3 linked regions of the Sus scrofa genome follow. The protein of the gene in region 2 interacts with the protein of the main gene of each other region in a biochemical or structural test. Links are inferred from orthologs where the notes say so. Each region holds a gene or a part of one and is shown on either strand. Other genes may lie near its edges.

Region 1 (3,748 bases), on a different chromosome or scaffold from region 2:
GGATCTGAGCTGCATGTGCAACTTATGCCATGAGACATGCCAGATCCTGAAGCTACTGATCAAGGCCAGGGATTGAACGCATATCCTCAAGGATACTAGTCAGAGTCTTAACCCACTGAGCCACAACAGGAACTCCCCGATCATACTTTTTAAAATAATCTTGTGCCTCTAGTGTACTTTATGAAGAAAAATAACACATATATATCAATCTCTCTATATATTCATATATCTATAGTTTTTGTCTCTCTCCTTTACAAGAATGAAAGTTTCATTCTCTTTCTTGTTTGCCAACATATCATGACTCCCAGTAAGCACTTAAGAGTATTTTCAGAATAAATTTTGAAGTTCTTATGTTAAATACTTAGCGTCATCCTTTTTAAATTAAGTCAGATTATGTCACTCTTCAGAGTATAACTCTCCAGTGGCTCTGTTTCACTGCAAGATAAAAGTCAAAATCCTTACAATGGCCCACAAGGCCCTCCTGACCTTTCTACTCTTACTCTCTGCAGTAAACCTAAACAGTCTTCCCCCATCCCTTGCTCACTACTCTTCAGCCACATTATTGCTGAACAGACACTGTGACACTTTCCCAGGGGCCTGTGTGTGATTATTCTTTCTGCCTGAAACCTTTTTCCCCAGATATCTATATGGCTCATTATCTCACCTTCAAGTGTACTCAAATAGAACCTTCTTCATAAAGTCTACCCTGATCACATTCTATTTAAAATAAATTGTTATCTTCCCTTCTCCTTTTCCCCCAACAAACATCCTCCAGAACCCTTTAACCTGTTTTGCATTTCTCTCCCCACGGTACTTAGCACCTTTAACACACTATAGTTTCTTCATTTATATGTCTGATTAATGTCTATTTCCTCCTAGACTAAAATGAAAACTCTGAAAAACTATGGATCTTTGTCTGCTCTGATCACTGACACATGCCGAGTACTAGAACAGTGCTCATCAGATGAAGGATACTCAATAATTACTTGCTGAATGAATGAACTTTAAAAAGAAACCTGCTACAACAGTGGTTTTTAAACTTTAACAGACCCAGGATCTTGGTTTTTTTTTTTTTTTTTTTTTGCTTTTTAGGGCTGCACTCACGACATATGGAAGTTCCCAGGTGGAATGGGAGCTAAAGCTGCTGGCATTCACCACAGCTATAGCAACACAGGATACAAGCAGAGTCTAAGACCTACACCACAGCTCATGGTAATGCTGGATCCTTAACCCACTGAGCAAGGCCAGGGAAGGAAGCCGCATCCTCCTGGATCCTAGTAAGGTTTGTTAACTGCTGAGCTACTAAGGGAATTCCTGAACACAGGATCTTGTTAAAAACCAGATTCTAGCTGCTAAGTATGAGTTAGGGCCCAACTCTCAGGCCATGGTGATGCTACTGATGATGTCAGTGAGTAACAAGGCTCTACACGACCCTACCTGCTCTGATACAATACTGTACATAACAAAACATAGTTTTAACAATTAACATCAACAAAAAGAAAGTGTAACCAATACAGGACTCACATTTTTTTCAACAAAGGTCTGTGGTTTGTAGACAAAAAGAAATTATTTTCAGAACAGCAGGTCCACCACTTTCAACAGAAATGTCATCAAAGATTTCATGCACCCCCAAATATATAATGTTTACATCAATTCAAAAATGTGTAACAATGAGATATCTAATAATGTAGACTACAGTAAAACTATTATGAACATAAAATAATTATGAATAAGACATAATAGGCCTAATAAATCAAAACAACTAAAAACAAGAAAAGGAATTCACTGCATCAAACAAGACATTTTCAAGTATTCTTACCTCAAGAGCTTTAAAAAAACATTCGGAATTGTCTGAAGACTTTAAAAACTTCACAAAAAACGGTTCTTTGTCATTTTTGGACATTTTTGAACTGTCAAAATAAAGGAACCGTTAACAAGAACATTACATATGAAGTTAAATGTTTAAAGCACCTATTTTCCTGCGTAGATAAGAATGCCTCAGGACAAACATTCTGGCCTTGCCTTTGAATTCATCATTACGGTTTGTAGAAAACACTGGAATGTGGACAAAGTCAAGGAAAAAGATGACAACACCAATCCTTGCAAATAAATCGGATAACGAAATTAAGGTCGCTAAATTGAATCCGTCAAGGGCCTGTGCTCAGGGGCTCTAAGTTCCTTAAGCCAAAGCGCATTCAATTGTACTTAGCTTAAAGATCCTCTGAATGAATCGGTCCCTGCGGGAATCCGCGGCCCTTGAGGTACGTTCAGCCCTCAGTAATGTAAACGTTTAAATATAAACGTGAAAACAAGCGAGCAAAGTCATGCCCCGTAATTGGCCGCCGAAAAGCGCTTGCTCCCCAGCTCCCGGGGCAAGGCCCGGCTCTTGGTCCAGCAAGCAGTCATGTCCTCTCTGGCGTCTAAGTTCCACCCGCCGGTCCCGGGCCGGTTACAGGGCCCCAAAGGCCAGAGACAGCGTCCCGAAAGCACCGCGGGATGGAGAAGGAGCTGACTCCTCTCTCCGAGCTTCACTCACCACGGTGGCGCCTGGGGGTCTCCGGGCGGCGAGAGTGGGGCCGCGCAGCCGGCAAGACGGCTGCTGGGCTCGGGCGCCAGCCCGGCGCACACCCGCCGCACCCGGCGGCGCCCCCGGCCCAAAGCAAGCGCAGACCCGGAAATTGCCGAACCCGAACTGACTTTCGCGCCAACTGCAGAAACTTCCGGCGGAAGTGACATCAACGGAGTCGAGCGAGGCGGGCAGAGGCGTCTAGAGACGTGGTGGGCGGTCGCTATGGTGAGGTGGGATCCCAGTCTAGGTGTTCTGGAAATCTAGGGCTAGAGCCTTTGGGACCTCCGGGCTCGGAAGGGCGAGCTGGGCTCCGCTGGGAGTTGGCCAAGCGCTGAGGACTAGCGGGTAGGGGGCCCGGAGTTCCTTAGAGGAGGCCCCAATACACCCAAAAAATAAAGCCAGGGGAAAGAGGGTTTTCCTCGATAAATATTTTACACCTAGAGACCATGTATTATCGTCCAAAACAACACTGTGGGGCAAATAGTGGTATCTCCACTTTATAGATGTAAAAACTGTGGCTTAGGGAAATTAAGTGACGTGCTCAAGGTCACAGTAAAGTAGAATTTAGACTGCTTCCGGGTCTGTTTCACCCTGTGGACTGGCGGACTGGATTCTTTTCCTTTCAGTGTATTATGAATGTATTCATCAGCTACCTCAGCCAGGAAGTCTAAAGGGAAGAAAGGTGTCAGGACGACCTGAATTACACACCTGGTGCAAAGAGATCTTTACCAAGGTCTTCTGTGATTCCCCCTTCCCTTAAACCTTTCAATGAGCATCTCATTTTCCTTCTCTGTAACCACTTGAGTTAGATTCTGGGATGGAAGCTACTGTTGAGAAGGCAAAGATCAGGGGAGAGGAGGTGAAACAGGATCGCTGGATCCTGGCTGGTTGATGGACAATGACAAAGTGCTGAGTTAGCATTTTCTCCTCAATTTATTCCAGACGAGGTTGATAAAGTCATGACTTGAGTAATGTTGAGAGTTTAAGGCCCTGTACCTTGATTGTTTTTCTTTTCCGTTTTAATGTCTCAATATAGCAAAGAGCAGCTTGGGTCTAAGTGTGTGAACATATCTGTGGAAGGGTAGTCAGAATAACACAGGGGCTCAAAGGTAAAGCACTGTTATCAGGGAGATGGTGAGGCAAGTCTACATACACATGAGTGAAAGTTACTAGAGTTGT
Region 2 (3,748 bases):
TATACAATATATATTTACATATGTAGATTCTTTAAATAGTAAATATCAAATAACCAGTGTTCAAATTTTCAATTGTCTCCTAAGTGCCATAACTGGTTTTTGTTTGTTTCTGTTGTCCTGGCAGCAGCGTGAAAGGAGAGAACAAGTGCCCTGGAAGTAGGGGGACCAGTGAGAAGGTTATTGTATTACCTGAGAGCAGATGAGGCCAGAACATGGGCTGTGTCATGTAGGGATGGGAGGCTGGAGACAGAGGCAGGGTCAGCAGGACCCACAAAGCAATACAAAGTCTGAAAAAGCATCCAGGGAACCTAGAACCAGATCAGCTTTTTTTTTCTTTTTAGGGCCACAGGTGTGGTATATGGAAGTTCCCAGGCTAGAGGTCAAATCAGAGCTATAGCTGCCAGCCTTCAGCACAGCTACGCTGAATCCTTAACCCACTGATCGGGGCCAGGGATCAAACCCATAACCTCATGGATACTTGTTGGGTTCATTACCGCTGAGCCACAACAGGAACTCCCCAGATCAGTTTTAGTAAGAACTTATCAATGGTTGGTGGGACCAAAGTCTGAATGCAGTGGGCAGAAGAGTAGGAGGTAGGGCAGGGCATCCCAGAGGTCCACACAGCAGGGCAGACTGGTTCTACTATACAGCCATGACTCATCCATTCAGTCAACAACAAAAAAGCAACATCCCTCATGTCACTAAGCAGTGGAGATGCAGGTAAAGAAAAATAAGGACTAAGTCTCTACCCTCAAGGGTAGAGGGTACCCTAATATTTTAGGGGGAACATAGGTAATAAATACATCCATTTGTTCATTCATTTACTCAATAAATATTTACAGAATGACTATTTTTTGGGCACTGTTACATGTGCTGAAAATATTTACCAGATTACAAAATTCAATCCCTGCCCTCGTGGCGCTTACATCTAGTTGGGAAGTGATAAGAGGTACAGATAAAAGGGAAATGGCCTAAGGGCTGAGCTGACCTAGGGCTGTTTAGACCTAGGGCTGGTTGGGAGGACCTATCTGAAAAGATGTGAAGAAAAACTTGCATGAAGAAAAGAGAACAAGGGAGTTCCCATCATGGCACAGTGGAAACGAATCCAACAAGGAACTGTGAGGTCTCAGGTTCGATCCCTGGCCTCAATCAGTGGGTTAAGGATCTGGCGTTGCCGTGAGCTGTGGTGTAGGTCGCAAATGCAGCTCGGATCCCGGATCCCGTGTTGCTGTGGCTGTGATGTAGACCAGCAGTTACAGCTCCAATTTGACCCCCAGCCTGGGAATTTTCATATGCCATAGATGCAGCCCTAAAAAAGACACACACACACACACACAAAATGCAAATCATTATGTTGTACAACTGAAACTAATATAATGTGTTATGTCAATTTATACTTGTAAGGGGGGGAAACAGAATTATAGGGTTTAGTGATAGTTCAGTACTAAACTTGGGATCAGCATTAGTGGCCATCTATTTTTTCTGAGACTTGTTTATTAGGTTCAACCCAAAATTTGATAAAAGTAATCCTTTGTGAAAAATAATAACATTACCCTACTCCTCTTTCTCCTACTCCCTCTGGCCCCCACACCCTTCAAGTTCCAACAATTCTGGCCTAGGGCAGTGCAATAGCCTAACTGGCCTACTCAGGCACACCCCTCCGTGAACTCTTTAAACTGCAAATCTAATCCTGACTCTCTTCTGCTTAACATGTTTTGATTCTCTGTAAGGGCCAAACTTTTCAGTGGTGGCTAAGGTCCTGAGGCTCTGGTTCCAGCTTCATCTCACACGCACTCTGCACAGGTCTCTTAGCTCACACTCCTCAGAGACGCTTCAGCCTCTGTGCAGACCTCCCTTCCTCCCCTCCTACCACACTGCCCTGCAGCACCTCCCACCCTTTGCTTTGAGGGTCTCCCTCCCACCTTTGCCTAAAGGTATCAGATCACAGACCAAGCATGAGTTCCTGGGAAATGCTCTTCTCACCTCCCTTAAGGCCAGATCCTCTTACTGGAGATACTCAATGTGATCCCCGAGTTCTAATTTATCACCTCACAGTTGAACTCTCCATTTGTTTAAATAGGTAATTTGCTTCGAAAATGTCTTCTTTCTCCTCCCATCAGACCTTAAGCTCAGGAGAAAGGCCCCTCTGCCACTGCATCCTAGCGCCGCCTGGTGCACAATGGGTGCTCAACTAAACTTAGGTGTTGCCTAAGTTAATAATAAAGTAATTTACCACATATAAACGATAGCATGGGGCCGGGGACGAGATTTGGATTGAAGGTTCAGAGCCGAGGCGGAGTTTGCGGCCTGTATGTAAATTTTGAGGAGGAGGGAGCTTGAACAAGGTCACAACTGCGCCCAAGTAGCCCGAAGGCCGGTAGGGGCTCCGGACGGTCGCTGGTTGCAGGTCAACGGAGGACAGTTCCCCCATCCCCTCCACCAGCTGGGAAGTCGCTGAGGGGGTAAGATCCCGGGGCGGCGACTGCTCAGGGCCCGGAGGGCTGCGGGGCCTGCCCGTGATACCCAGTGTCCCCGCGTCCCGCCGCAGCGGAGCCCTCCAGCGCCCTCCCCAAGAGCCGCGCGCCCGCACCTCTAGGTTCCGCCTCGCCCGCCGCGGCTTCGCCGGCGGTCCCGACTCCCCAGCTCACCTGCCTCACCCGCCGCCGCTCCGCCGACCTCACTGCCCGGCGGGGCCACCTCACTGGCCTCTCCCGCCTGCCGAGCAACCTCACCTGCCGGGCTGGACCGCAGCGCCCGCCCAGACGACTAGGCGGATCGCGGAAACAAGGCCGCCGCCGATTGGCCACGCCCGTCACGTGACCGCAACGCTCCGCCGGCGCCAATTTCAAACAGCGGAACAAACTGAAAGCTCCGGAGCGGGACCCCACCCCCGGCCCCGGCCCGGGACAACACCCCCCCCCGCGGCGGGATCCCGGGATTCCCCACCCCGCAGCCCGGGGACGCGGCCCGGCCTGCAGGTGGGAGCAGCGCGGAGCCTCCGGGAGCCCAGAGCTGACGGTGCAGAGAGGTGAGCGGCGGCAGGAGGGAGGCCCGGGGGCCCGGCGGCAAGACGGCGCGGAGGGCCGGCTCCGGCGGGAGGTGGCGGGGCTGCACCGCGCTTCTGCACCACCTCCCGGCCTCCTCACCTCTCTCGCGGAGCGGCCCGGGCCCTCCCTGGGAGGAAGGGCGGCCTGCTCGCTCTGGCAGACGGCGGATGGGATCCATCTGAGCCCACTCCGCTTAGAACCGACACCGACCAGCTCCCAGTCCCTGCGCCCAGGTGCCCTCACCACTAGGCTGCACTGCCTCCACCCCGCCCTTTCCCAGGGCCCTCCTCGCGGTCCTGGAGACCCTTGTCCTATGTGGTCTGGATGGGGGTCGGGTCGCGGGGGTCGCGGGAGCCGTTCCGGGCTAGAAAGGATTGGCCATTGGAGGTAGAGGGTGGTCTGAATAGAAAGGAAAATTAAACTTTAGACCTGAAAGATATCCTGGGGTGAGGGGTAGGAAGCCAGTACTAGTGTCTTCTGATTGATGGGTGGAGGGAGGAAGGCCAGAAGAGATAGGAGGTGGAGGTAAAACTGAGATTTGAAGGGAGAGGAAACCTAGATGTAAAGGAAAGGGAGGAGGCAGAGTGGAGAAGGTCTGTGACTTCTAAGCAGATGGCAAATGTCATATGAGTGTGACAATCATTTTTAGGGAGATTGCAGATAGCCTAAAAAAGAGACAACCTATTCCTCTGTCTCTCAAA
Region 3 (3,736 bases), on a different chromosome or scaffold from region 2:
TCTCAAGTCACTCATCAGAGTCCATTTAGCACATATTAATGGGGTGCTGTTCCAGCTCTGGGTCCTCTTAGGAGCTGGAAGTGTCCTCAACAAGAACAAGATAAAGTCCCTGAGGTGCCAACGGTACGCATGGGTCAGTAAGGAAGAGAACGCACAAACTGTGTGAGCTGATGCAATATGTACAATCACTACTGCAGTCAAACAGCAACCAGGTGAGCATGTGAAGAGGTTCTTAGCTAGGAGATCAGAAAAAGCTTCTCTGAGAGGTGATGTTTCAGATCGGACCAGAACAAGGAGAAGCTGTCAGCCACAGAAAAATAGGGACGAGGGGCACAGTGTTCTCCCAGGCAGGGGAACAGCGTGTGTAAAGTCGTGAGGCTTTTCAGACACCACACAACTCTTAAAGGGGTGTAGAAGGGACCGAGAGACCCTTTTGTGTGCAGGGGACACTCAGTGTGCAAAAGCACTGGAAGGATAAAACTAGGCTTGTCTATGTGCAGAGGCTCCTATGAGACTCATAATGAAGCAAGATATCCTGCACTTCAAGATAGAAAAGCAGTATATGTTGCTATTTTGCTTTTCTTTAAGCATCTGGAGAACCATACTACACTTACATTGTGAGGTGAAATACTCTGATTAGCTCTAAGAACTGCCTAACTGCCAAGAGCTGAGAAAAAAGTATGAAGAAAAGGAATCCTCCTCCATAGAGCACTAAATTAAATGCAGTGCTCACACATCAAATAAAAGTACACAGGAGTTCCCGTTGTGGCTCAGCAGGTTAAGGACCTGATGTTGTCTCTGAAAGGATGCAGGTTCGATCCCTGGCCTCGTTCTACCAGTGGGTTAAGGATCTGGAGTTGCCACAAACTGTGGTGTGGGTCACAGATGCGGCTCAGATCTGGTGTTGCTGAGGTTGTGCCACAGGCTGGCAGCCACAGCTCCAATTTGACCCCTAGCCTGGGAATTTGCAAAGCCTCAAGTGTGACTGTAAAAAGAAAAAAAAAAAGGTGTTAATGGCAGAAGAGGGGAAGAAGGGAGGGACACACAAACACTTGAAAGGTGAAAATGGAGAGAAACAACTGTTTCTAGACTGGGTGACAATACCAGTAAAAGAAATGGAGATGCTGGGGGGTGGGGGGATGTGCCTGGGCTGTGGGATGGAAATCCTGTGAAATCAGATGGTTATGATCATTATACAATGACAGATGTGATCAATTCATTTGAGTAATTAAAAACAAAAAAAAGAACCATGTACCATACAAAAAAAGAAAGAAAGAAATGGAGATGCTGGAATATGCAAATCTAAGAAAAAAGATGCAGATGTGTTATTTCATAGGCAAAGCAGGATCCTACTTGAACAGTACATGATAACAATGTCATTTAAATGCAAGGAGGATCTGGGTGGCTAGGATCCATGAGGATTCGGGTTTGCTCCCTGGCCCCGCTCAGAGGTTGAGGATCCAGAGTTAAGGATCTGCAATGGCGTTGCCATGAGCTCTGGTGTAAATCGCAGATGCGGCTTGGATCCTGCGTGACTGTGGTGTAGGCCAGCAGCTGTAGCCCCGATTAGACCCCTAGCCCTGGGAATTTCCATATGATGTGGGTGCAGCCCTAAAAAAGCAAAAAAAAAAAAAAAACCTTAAAAATAAAAAATAAACACAAGGAGGACAGACCTTTCATTTCAATAAAACCAATTAGCTTCCCACATAGCGTTAACATGCCTAGGCTTATAACTTCTAATTCCTTCTGGGAAGTTTAAGAAACGATCCCTTCCTACTTACCAGCTCTATAGAAACTGTGAGGCATGGAAAGTGTTTATTAGTCAGCTTGATTTTCAAAGATCTGGCATTCTGGGCAGTTTTCAAGGCTCGAGATAAATTTTCCGACGTTAGCTCTAAATAAATCTCGTTGTTTTGTGCAGAGACACCTTCCATTTGAAATTCGCTGAAGAAGTTCTCCTAAGGGAAAAAAAGGCGGCGGGAGGGGGGGACATGTACGCCCTTCCCAATGGCATTTAGGGGGAGTCTGCAGGCCTCTCAGGAGCTGGCACTCACCTGTTCCAGCTCACACCACATGCTCACCCCTCCATTGGCCACCTTGTCAGAGAGGATGAAATTCAACTTATCCGGGCTGATGCGCAGCGTGCAGGTTTTGGCAAGCTTGGCTATCATGTTACTGACTCCTATAGCAAAGGGTTAAAATAAGAAATCACTAAGAAGCAGGCCGAGTATCCCAGACGCCACGTCAGCCTGCAGAACTCCCGATTCAGTTCGGCATGGTGCGCTTTCCCGGTGGAGAAAATCCCGTTTACACTACGACCCACCGGGAATACCGCTTTATCCCGCTGAAGTCACGCCAGCCTCTCAACAGGCCTGCACGGTAGCATCGCCCGCCGCCCTCAGGACTGGAAGAAAGAAACCCAGACTCAGAGGCTAACTGGTGCCGATCGGTCGCATTCGTTCATTCCGGGCCCACCTGCGGCCGCTGGGTCCTGCAGGGGGCAAGACTAGGCCGGCAGGGGCGGAGAGCGCTCTGGGACCGGAGTGGAAATAGAGGTCTGCGTCTTTAGGGGCCGGCGACCAGTTTAAGGAAAGCCACGCAAGGCAAGTCCGGTTTTAGGAACCATTCACGTCCACCTGCGCCCGCCGCCAGCCTCCGGCTGGGCCCCCATCCCTTTCGGCCCCACCCCGCCCCTCCTCGCAGGGCCCCAGCCGCGCGCACTGCCTCCTTCCCGGCCGCCCTCCCTCCACTCTGCCCTCCTCTCCACGACCTGGGCCGACGCGGCCGCTTACTCACGGGTGAAGTGGTTCAGACAGGCCCCGTCCACAATCTTGGCCCGAAACTTCATGGCGGGACGCGGCCCGCCGGGGGCGTCTGCCGGCGACACACTCCAGTGCGTCCCGCCTTAAGCTTCCCGCCGGAAACGCCGCAGCCCCGCCCTGGGTTCCGCCCGCCTCTTTGGGGCGGGGAGCCGGGCCTTTGGGTCCCGCCCCCGGGGTGTGGCAGCATCTGCCGGAAGTGACGCCATCACCCGCCCTCAGGTGCAGGAAGTGGTTCCGAGGCGGCCCAACTTGAAAGAACTTTTGCGATACTTATTTCCAGTGCTGTTTCAGAACCTCAGAAATAAAGTCAATCCTTTATTTATAAAGTATTAGGTGAAACGATCGCTTAAATATACACCTCTGATGTGGGGGAGCTTTAGAACCTCCCCTCATGTTGCTTTAAAATTGCTTTAAATTTCAAATTTGAGTCCGGTTGTGGCTCAAAGGTCACTAGCATCCACGAGGAGGCAGGTTCAGTCCCTGCCTTGCTCGCTGGGTTAAAGGACCCAGAGTGGCCATGAGCTGTGGTGTGGGTGGCAGAGGAGGCTGAGATCTTGAGTTGCTGTGGCTCTGGGGCAGGCGGGCAGCTGCAGCTCCCATTTGACCCCTCGCCTGGGAACTTCCATATGCTGCAGCTGCGCCCCTAAGAAAAGAATAAATCATTAGATGAAGTGGTTGCTCTGGAAGTCATGGATGTGATTAAATAATGTATCTGAACAAGCTTTGTAAACAGTGTTTCATAATATATTGATATTTACCTTAAATCACTTAGTTTTTTGCCATTTAAAAAAAACCATTTTTTTTAGGCATAACAACATCTATGGTGTTGGGTGTTTGGGGAAAATTGTCTAACCATAAATGACTGAGTTGATTTGTTCAAGAGGAAAAAAATTAGGAGTTCCTGTCATGGCTCA

Evidence for each region.
Region 1: the proteins of RHNO1 (region 2) and TOPBP1 form a complex in vitro, tested with the Homo sapiens proteins (2 studies listed by BioGRID). The link is inferred for Sus scrofa from reciprocal best matches to the Homo sapiens genes RHNO1 and TOPBP1.
Region 3: the proteins of RHNO1 (region 2) and HUS1 form a complex in vitro, tested with the Homo sapiens proteins (2 studies listed by BioGRID). The link is inferred for Sus scrofa from reciprocal best matches to the Homo sapiens genes RHNO1 and HUS1.

Annotation. Positions count from the first base shown.
Region 1 is NC_010455.5:74,843,652-74,847,399, forward strand, and holds the start of TOPBP1 (DNA topoisomerase 2-binding protein 1), read right to left. Parts: upstream 2,727-3,748; 5' UTR 2,537-2,726; intron 1,911-2,536; 5' UTR 1,904-1,910; coding exon 1,820-1,903; intron 1-1,819. UniProt on the Homo sapiens protein: Scaffold protein that acts as a key protein-protein adapter in DNA replication and DNA repair. Composed of multiple BRCT domains, which specifically recognize and bind phosphorylated proteins, bringing proteins together into functional combinations.
Region 2 is NC_010447.5:67,243,355-67,247,102, forward strand, and holds the start of RHNO1 (RAD9, HUS1, RAD1-interacting nuclear orphan protein 1), read right to left. Parts: upstream 2,797-3,748; 5' UTR 2,649-2,796; exon of another isoform or gene 2,591-2,648; intron 1-2,590. UniProt on the Homo sapiens protein: Involved in microhomology-mediated end-joining (MMEJ) DNA repair by promoting recruitment of polymerase theta (POLQ) to DNA damage sites during mitosis.
Region 3 is NC_010460.4:48,522,150-48,525,885, reverse strand, and holds the start of HUS1 (checkpoint protein HUS1), read right to left. Parts: upstream 2,945-3,736; 5' UTR 2,849-2,944; coding exon 2,797-2,848; exon of another isoform or gene 2,793-2,796; intron 2,183-2,792; coding exon 2,055-2,182; intron 1,959-2,054; coding exon 1,782-1,958; intron 1-1,781. UniProt on the Homo sapiens protein: Component of the 9-1-1 cell-cycle checkpoint response complex that plays a major role in DNA repair. The 9-1-1 complex is recruited to DNA lesion upon damage by the RAD17-replication factor C (RFC) clamp loader complex.